2 linked regions of the Tribolium castaneum genome follow. The protein of the gene in region 1 purifies or fractionates together with the protein of each later gene. This does not show direct contact. Links are inferred from orthologs where the notes say so. Each region holds a gene or a part of one and is shown in the gene's direction. Other genes may lie near its edges.

Region 1 (4,287 bases):
CTGAAAGTCGTCACCACAGGTCGCAAACACTTTTTCAACAAATGGTGAAAACTTAATAGTGTGAATGGGGCCTTCATGCGCTTTGAACATGTCCACATGGTGGGTACAGTAACTTGCGGCACACTTGTGTATGACACCTTCCTCTGTACCCACAAGGTAGAAGGCAGGGTCCGGCTTGTGCACACTTAAGCAAAGAGCGCCGGCATACCTAGACGACGAAACCTGATTGCCTTCAAACAACCGCAAGGCTGGTAACCCTTTCAGCTTCCCTTCAATTTTATCCGTCCTCATAATTTGTACACACTCGAGCTTCGCTTGGGTCACCAAGTACTTGCAAACCCGACCGTCGCCGAAACAAACCAGGAGAAATTCCTTCTGGTTTTGCTCCAGCCATACCATGTTCCAGGCCGGTTTAAACGAAGTGCTAGAGTCCTCCCCAACCATCTCAAAGTCCCTTTTGCTGACATCTATAACTAGGAGCTCCCCATTGTAGAACCCAACAGCCAGATAGTTCGGGTCTTTTGTTGAAAACGCAAGGGACGTGACCGGGTGTCTGAAGTAGTACTCGCGCTCGGGCTGTTTGGGATTTTTTATGTTCCACACCATCACAACCCCGGTCTTTCTCCGGTCAATAAAATAGTACTTGCCATAGCCCACAGCTACCATATCTTCGGTGAAAGAATTGAACGAGATCCCGGTAACGCACCTATTTTTCGTGTCTTCGTTGGCGAAAGTCCACAGCAAGTCCAGCTTGTAATCGTAGCGGATTTCCTCGGCCTCGTCCACCAACCCTTTGAACTTCTTCTGTTCGTTGTTGTAACAATTGTTGGCCAAAAGGCGTTCAATTACTAGAACAGCGTCGAAGTAGTTTTTATTCACTGACAACTTCTCCAACTCTTTGGTCTCTCGACTCTTCCTTAGTTCATCCAAAGACACTTCCGCAATTAACTCATGGTCGTTTGTTTCCTCCAACTCAACACTTTCAACAAAACTGGCATTGTAGGTATCATACATCTCCCAGTTTGAAGCAAACGTTGAGTTGTCCCTGAACTTGTACTGGACGGGTTCCGTGTTTCGCGTTTTCATTAAAACAGGCCTCGTTTGTACTCCAGTTGTTGCAACTTTGCGATTACGCCCTTTACCCTTTGTTAAGTATTCGTAAAGGCGGTTGTCCATCTCGGCGGCTTCGCCCTCGTCAGTGTCCCGCGGGACCACAGAACTTGGAAGTTCAAGCAAGAAAAGGGTTTCCGTCTCGTTTAACACAATAGTCACATGTTTTGGGATTTTTCGCAGCATTTTTAGCCAAAAAAAGTTTGATCAATTCTACCCCATTTATTTAAAATCGCTACCAACCCAACTTCAATACTCGACTAATTTTTAACACAGCGTAGGTGCCTCTGGTCTAGTTTTTATCTTGTTGCAAGGTGTTGGTCGTTGCGGTAACTTGTTGCTTGTTTATTGTCTAACCTCAAAAGTGACATTTTACAGTGAATGTCAAGACATAAATTATCATTTTTTAATCGAAATTAAAATGTTAATGCGATAGTTTGTAACATAATTAGTGTGTTATGTTGGTGGGGACTGTTAATTTTACATTTGGCACTTCTCGTCCCCCGTGCGATGAAAAACAATACGATGCAAAGTTCATGTGTGATTAGTTTACAAAAATAGAAGCAAACAATAACATCATGAAATTGTTTCGTCTTATCGTCCACCAGAAGAATTTCAGTGGTATGAGTCGAACAAGTTGTGACCGGTCAAGGTCAGTTGTTTTTTCCAGCTGAGGATTTAATCATCAACCCTAAAGACTACCCCGGTGCTAATTTGGGCGATATTGTGGAGATTTACCACCCGCCACCCGACGATGACAACCCACGTGGTAAGAAGAAGAGCGAGCCTGAGGAAGAATACCCAAGGTTGTTGCTCCAAATTAAAACGTTTCCGGACGATACAACCCAGCAAAATGCCTTACAAAAAGACACAATCAGCGTGGAGCAGAGCATAGCTCAGGCTTTCGGTCTGCAGGCGTACAAGAACGTGATAATCCGTATTGTGGACCCGCCTGACATTGCGCTTGACTCAATTGAACTTACCTTTAAAGACCAGTACATGGGGCGCTCTGAGATGTGGCGCTTGAAAAACAGTCTTATTAACACTTGTGTGTACATCAAAAAGAACATTGAGTTCTGTGGGGGCGCTGTGCGTTGCCAGGTCTACGAGATGTGGTCAATGGGCGACAGAGTCGCTTGTGGGGTTATCACAGAAGACACGAAAGTCGTTTTCCGCTCCTCCACATCCATGGTTTATCTCTTCCTGCAAATGTCGTCGGAAATGTGGGACTTTGATATTTACGGCGACTTGTACTTCGAAAAAGCCGTGAACGGGTTTTTGGCCGATTTGTTCATGAAGTGGAAGAAGAACGGGAGCAACCACGAAGTGACGATTGTTTTGTTTTCCCGCACGTTTTACGAAGCGAGTAACTTGGAGGCGTTCCCTCTCCACATGCGAGAGTGTCTCCAGAAGGATTACAAAGGCCGATACTACGAGGATTTTTACAGGGTTGCGGTCCAGAACGAGCGCTATGACGACTGGAGCGGGATTTTGGTCCAGTTAAGGCGAATTTTTTCCGAATATTTGAAAATTGTCCTCGAGTATCACAAAAGGCCAGGGTTGGATATTCCAGCTGCGACGAACAGTACAGCAGCTCAGGGGAATTTTCTAGAGGTGTTAAACATGTCCCTGAATGGTATTTATTTGTGGTCATGGTTTATACATTCTGATTGTTTTTTTCTCAGTTTTTGAGAAGCATTATTTGGATCGAAGTTTTGATAGGACTGGGCAACTCAGTGTTGTGGTTACACCGGGTGTTGGTGTTTTTGAAGTTGATCGAGAGTTGACTAATATTACGAAACAGAGAATTATCGATAATGGGGTTGGGAGTGATTTGGTGTGTGTTGGGGAACAGCCACTGCACGCAGTTCCGCTTCTAAAGGTATTATTTGATTTAATAGGAGGGCTTAATGACCGGATTTTTTTGCCTTAAGTGCCAGTTGAAAAAAAAAACAAACCCAAAACGAACATATTTATTTCGCAAAAAAATGTTATTTTTTAAGCTTGTAATTTCGTATTTCCAGTTAAGTCGTATGTCATAAAATACTTATTGAAGGTAGCTAACATATAAAAGAATTTTGTTATTTAATTCTATTACTGTTAAGTAGACGGAATGGGAATTAGGTACGTCTGCATAAGTATTAAAACATAACCAAATTAGTTGGTCAAAAATTGTTATTATTTTACTAGAATACACATAAATATTACATAATAATTAATAAGCTTATAAGTATTAACGTAATAACACTTTAACTAAAGATAAACAAAAAAATTGATATGAAAAAAATTAAATAATAATAATTATTATTATTATTAATGAAATATATTTATATTAATGACTAATGAAATGATGAATAATTTAATTACTTGTTGGATTGATAATTCAAGGATTCGTAACATGATAACTAAATATAAAATCTCGCTAGAAAACAATCTTTATTTATGTAATAATTATTTTAATACTTTAATTTGCTCAAATGACCTAGCAGATCCAAAGGAATCAATTATGTAATGGGAACTATAGATGTATAACAGAAAGAAAAAAAAAGAAAGTAAGGAAGAATCAGTAACTATTTTAAATGAAAAAAACAGATTCTAAAGAAAAGGTTACTTGTGATCTTTTTATAATAATAATAACAATATAATAATAATAATAATGTTTTTTCAAATATTTTCCAGAAAACAAAGCACTGTAGCACTGCATGAGTATAATTATAAAAGGCGCTCCGAATTAAAATGTTTTATTGTTTTTTTAAATGAATTGATATTTAGATCCTTTATTTTGTTGGGCAAAAGATTATAAAATTTTATAGAGTGATGTTTCATTGCTGTTTTTGTTCGCGTTAGTCGAATCTCATTTTGACAAATTTTTTCCTTGCAATTGTAATCATGATAATAACCATTGGAATTTTTTTATAGATGTTAGACTTTAGGTATAGTACACATAAATAAAAAACAGTGACGGCAAGGTTAATACTTATAATTTTTTGAAGGCCTCTTTGCAGTCAGCCCGATAGGGTATGCCAGCAACAACGCGAATCGCACGCCTGTGAAGAGAAAAAATACGATATAAACAGGATGAATGTCCCCAAACTTTTAAGCCATACGATTTTATTAGAGAGTATTAGAGTAAATTACATGCCAAGTAACTAATTAGGAGTACGAAATTATATTTTT
Region 2 (4,530 bases), about 9.3 Mb from region 1:
TCTCGCCGCTTGTCGGCCCTTAATTTCCGCTTCCCGTACTGAAGAAAACGAGCAAATTATATTCCATTCGCCCTACACAACTCAAAGATTTTAAATCAACAACACAAAAGAAAAGAGAGAGAAACTGGTAACGGTTTCAACAAAGCGACCCCTTCGCATTCACACCCCTAAAGCAACGGTCAAAATTTTTAACTAAAACTATTAGTTTCGGTACTTAAAATACAAATTTACTCCAAATTTTTTTGTTATTATAATTTTTGTAAAAAGAGCCGGTAAAGAAGGTTCATAAATATTCCACTAACAACCCATAATTCGCAATAGACAACACAACTCTATTGTAGCAAAATTATATGTAAAACAGTAAAATTACTTACAATTATTTAGAATTTTTTATTACACTTTGAAATACAATCGTCGCTATAAACACTGTAATGGCGACGTTTTTTGATGGACACAAACGTCAAATGGTTAAACAGTTCGCATGCGAAGAAGTAACATTCTACAGTAGCGCCACTTAGCGGGAATTCGTTGCTACCAACTTTTGTTCTTTTTAGAAATCCATAAACGACGAAAAATGTGGTTACCAACATGAATTTTGGTCATTTCACTATTTTTTAATATTTGCAAGATAATAATAATAAATTTGATCCAAAAACAATAATTTTTACTTTTTACTGATGTATTTTATTTACAATTACACATCTCTTAACATCCTCTTGTCAAAGTAATCACAAATCGCCCAATTTTCCGCTTGAAAACTATTTAAAAATGTGTAATTTTAAAATTGTCATATTCTTAGCCTATTTACGACCAACTAGACTGTAAAAAAATCACACAAGATCCTCATTTCTGACCAAGATGCGTTTACGAACGCTTGTTTTGGTATTTGTATTTTTGTTAACATTCTCTCCAAGCTCTGAAATTATCTTCGACAGTTTCATTGCTACAAATGGTAAGAAAACTTAATAAAAAAGTTACTGTATACTATTGTGTAATTCTTCTAATTTAAAATTTTAGAAATGGAAGGAGCGCGTAAAAAGAAAAAAGGAGGTGGCAGCAAATACACTGTACCACTTCTTTTCGGAGCTTTAATGATCAAATCTATTATTTTTCCGTTAGCTTTTAAAACTATGGCCGTAATGTCAAGCATTGCAATACTTTTAAGTACTATGAGTTTAATTATGTCATCAATCGTGGGATACATCAGAATGGGACTTAAGTCTGCCCCTGTTAAAGTTGTTCATAAACAACCACCATCGCCCTTCAATAATTGGGCCAAAGATGATGATGGTAAAAATTATTACACACTCGGAGATAATTATAATTATGATTTGGTGGCACCACCACCCAGATAAGTAAAAAATATGTTATGTAACATTTATTTAACCCAAATAAAATGTTTTAATAACAATCACTTTTTCCCTTCTGATTATTAAAATGTACTGCTTCTCTGTTGTATTGTATGGCTATAACTGGTAATTGTTTGGAAGCTACTGATTTCTAGGAAACGTGAAACGTCAGACTTGACGTTTTTAGGTTATTCCTTTTAACCTCGCATTTTTTTGTTAAATATAAAAAAATGACTAAAAACTATTTCTTTATAATAAAAAATGACTAAGTAAACGCGTGACTGAACGTAGTAATTATAAATTAAACTTTATCAGTGTCAAATTTATAAATCGCTGGATTTTATCAAAGAAGTGTCAAGAATATGTAAACAATGGCTACATTTCACGTTTTGCAAGAAGGTCCTGTAAATGCTTTAGCCTTAAATAGAGACAATACTCAAGTGGCAATTGGTGGACGCAATGGTAGCACAAATTAAAAGGAAAAATTGTTCATTCATTACAAAGCACTTATTTTTGTAGTGTTCAAAGTTTACACAATTGAAGAAGACAAATTCCGCGAAGTGTGCAACTTGCGAGCATCCAAACACCTCAATCTGAGCTTTTCTTGCAACGATGTTTCGTGGAGTTGGACTGATGGTAGTACTTGAAGGTGCATACAGTTTGTTCAATAACTGTTCGTTTTCAGACCATTATTTGGCGACCGCCGCCACCAACGGCCATGTCTGTGTTTGGAATCTCACAAAAATGGGCAAAGCAATGCAAGAACAAGATTATCAAGAACACAAACGTACAGTAAACAAAGTGAATTTTCACGCCAGTGAACCAAACAGACTCATATCCGGCTCTCAAGATGGCACGATGCGTTATTTTGATATCCGCGCCAAAAACGCAGTTGCTATTTTTTACAGTAACACAGAGAGTGTCCGCGATGTGCAGTTCAGCCCTCATAATCCATATACTTTTGCGGCCGTTTCGGAAAACGGAAGCGTCCAACTATGGGATGTAAGAAGATCTGATAAATGCCAACAGCAATTTGCTGCACACAGTGGACCCATTTTTGCCTGCGATTGGCATCCGGAGAACACGTGGCTGGCCACAGCCAGTAGAGATAAAACTATCAAAGTTTGTATTCTTTAAAAATGTCTTTGAAAGATGGGGAACTTTGTTTATAAACGGCTAGTTGCATTATGAAATTTCACGGCTTAAAAAAATAGAAATGGGACAAAATACATGGGGTGATATTTGAAAATTGCTGAAACTTTAATTTGAATAATAAACTGTCAGTTTGACTTTAAATTTGATGTATACCCTAGATGTATACTAACTTCAGAAATAATGTCACATTGATACATAATATGTATGTATTTAATCCCAATCAATATAAGAGCCGCGAGGTAAAAATGAAATTCTCTGTCCATTAAAGATGTTTTGATTTAAATATTTATAAAATGCGCGTTTTATTAGGTCTGGGATTTGACAAGTAAACTGACTTTAGAATATACCATTCATACTATAGCTTCAATAGGACATGTCAAATGGCGCCCTCAACGGCGGTTTCATATAGCTTCATGTGCTTTAGTTGTTGACTGTAGTATAAATATTTGGGATGTGAGGAGGCCCTACATTCCTTATGCCTCTTTCAATGAACACAAGGATACTCCAAGTGGAGTGGCTTGGAAAGAAGATCCTCATGTTTTCCTCAGCAGTGGTCGGGTATGACTTTTTCAGTAAATAGTATTTTATATGTTTTAATAGCCATTAAATGCGAACAGCGTACATTACGATCCGCCCAGTTAATATAAAAAAAATACGATTTTAAGTGTCAAATTTATTTTTAAATATTAGCCTATTGTCAAACGCTCAAGGAAATCTAAAAATAGTTGCTGCCATATTACATTCTCATTGGTCACAAGTTGTCTTTGTGGTCGCCACACTTAATGAGTTTCATTAAAGTACAGGTCACAACCATTTAACGAATCATTTAAAGTATAATCTAGTAGAAAAAATTTTAAAAAAACTACCGGGAGCCTATTAAAGATTGTGAATTCTTGTCGTTAGATTGGCCAACAGATTTGAAATCTTAATTTGGCAACTTTGACTATCAAATTTATATGTTAAAGTTTTACCATTTTGTAACATTTCGAGTGTGATTTACCTAATTTCAATTAATAAAAATTGGTTTTTATTTTTTTATCATGTAGGCTTTGGAAGTATTCAAAAAACAAATAGTGTGTTGTACTGCTTTTGAAGTACTCTTGACATTCCGTTACATTTGAAAAAAAAAGTTGAAGGTGGTAGCGCATCCTTGGCAGTAGATAAACAAAAACCATATCCACCAATAAGCTCAATGTTGCCAGTAGATTTTTTTGCCCCAATTTTTAAGTCACCCGTTGTGTGTCATTAATACCAACTTTAGAAATAATCAGGCTAATCAATACAACTATATTTTAAAATATAACTTTCTGTATACAATTTTTGTTTGTTTAGGATAGTACTTTGTATCAACATTCGTTCGATTACGCTAGCCGGCCAGCGAAAAAAGCTAATCCCCAAGGTGTCTCGTTAAATAATCGAGGCGAGATTTTGTACGCTCACAAAACCAATGTTAGCACCTTGGTTAAAGCACCATCAGTTGGTATAATAAGGTAAAAAATGAAATAAAAAATTATAGTATGAAGCAAAATGTCATTTTGAAGGAAAACATCAACGACTCAAGCACCTGATCTTTTCCATCTAGCGTCTAGTTTAATGCATCAGTTTACCTTGTCCACCGAAAACAAATCCGAATCACAGATTTTTATTGGCTTAGCCAAGAATTACATATTGAGTGGACGGAGTTTATCCGAAATGTGCGAACATAACTCGGCGGTGGCAAACCAATACGGAAAAAACCAAATTTCGGTCGTATGGAAAATAATGAAAACGATGTATGGCGAAGAGTATTTACAAAACAATAGCAATAATAATAACAATAATCGAGAAGATGTGATTTCGCATAATAACCTACCTCTGAATATGGGTTTGGATCATAATAATGACAACGATCAAAGATCGCGTGGTGGTGGCGACACTCCTGCCGCTCAATTCAGCGACGAGACCGAAAACGAAGATCAAGTCGATCACATCGCCATCTACAATAACGGCTTTCCCACATATCTAAATATCAGGACAGGGTTGCCGA

Evidence for each region.
Region 2: the proteins of Iml1 (region 1) and Wdr24 purify together in Homo sapiens (affinity purification with western blotting; 4 studies listed by BioGRID and IntAct, with this or other methods). This does not show direct contact. The link is inferred for Tribolium castaneum from reciprocal best matches to the Homo sapiens genes DEPDC5 and WDR24.

Annotation. Positions count from the first base shown.
Region 1 is NC_087395.1:17,374,165-17,378,451, reverse strand, and holds the start of Iml1 (GATOR complex protein Iml1), read left to right. Parts: upstream 1-1,467; 5' UTR 1,468-1,688; coding exon 1,689-1,731; intron 1,732-1,780; coding exon 1,781-2,746; intron 2,747-2,795; coding exon 2,796-2,992; intron 2,993-4,287. Other genes in the region: dynein axonemal intermediate chain 4, read right to left, coding at 1-1,296. UniProt on the Homo sapiens protein: As a component of the GATOR1 complex functions as an inhibitor of the amino acid-sensing branch of the mTORC1 pathway.
Region 2 is NC_087395.1:26,690,776-26,695,305, reverse strand, and holds the start of Wdr24 (GATOR2 complex protein WDR24), read left to right. Parts: upstream 1-1,504; 5' UTR 1,505-1,720; coding exon 1,721-1,811; intron 1,812-1,868; coding exon 1,869-1,985; intron 1,986-2,034; coding exon 2,035-2,471; intron 2,472-2,813; coding exon 2,814-3,062; intron 3,063-3,836; coding exon 3,837-3,994; intron 3,995-4,045; coding exon 4,046-4,530. Other genes in the region: RISC-loading complex subunit tarbp2, read right to left, coding at 1-1. UniProt on the Homo sapiens protein: Catalytic component of the GATOR2 complex, a multiprotein complex that acts as an activator of the amino acid-sensing branch of the mTORC1 signaling pathway. The GATOR2 complex indirectly activates mTORC1 through the inhibition of the GATOR1 subcomplex.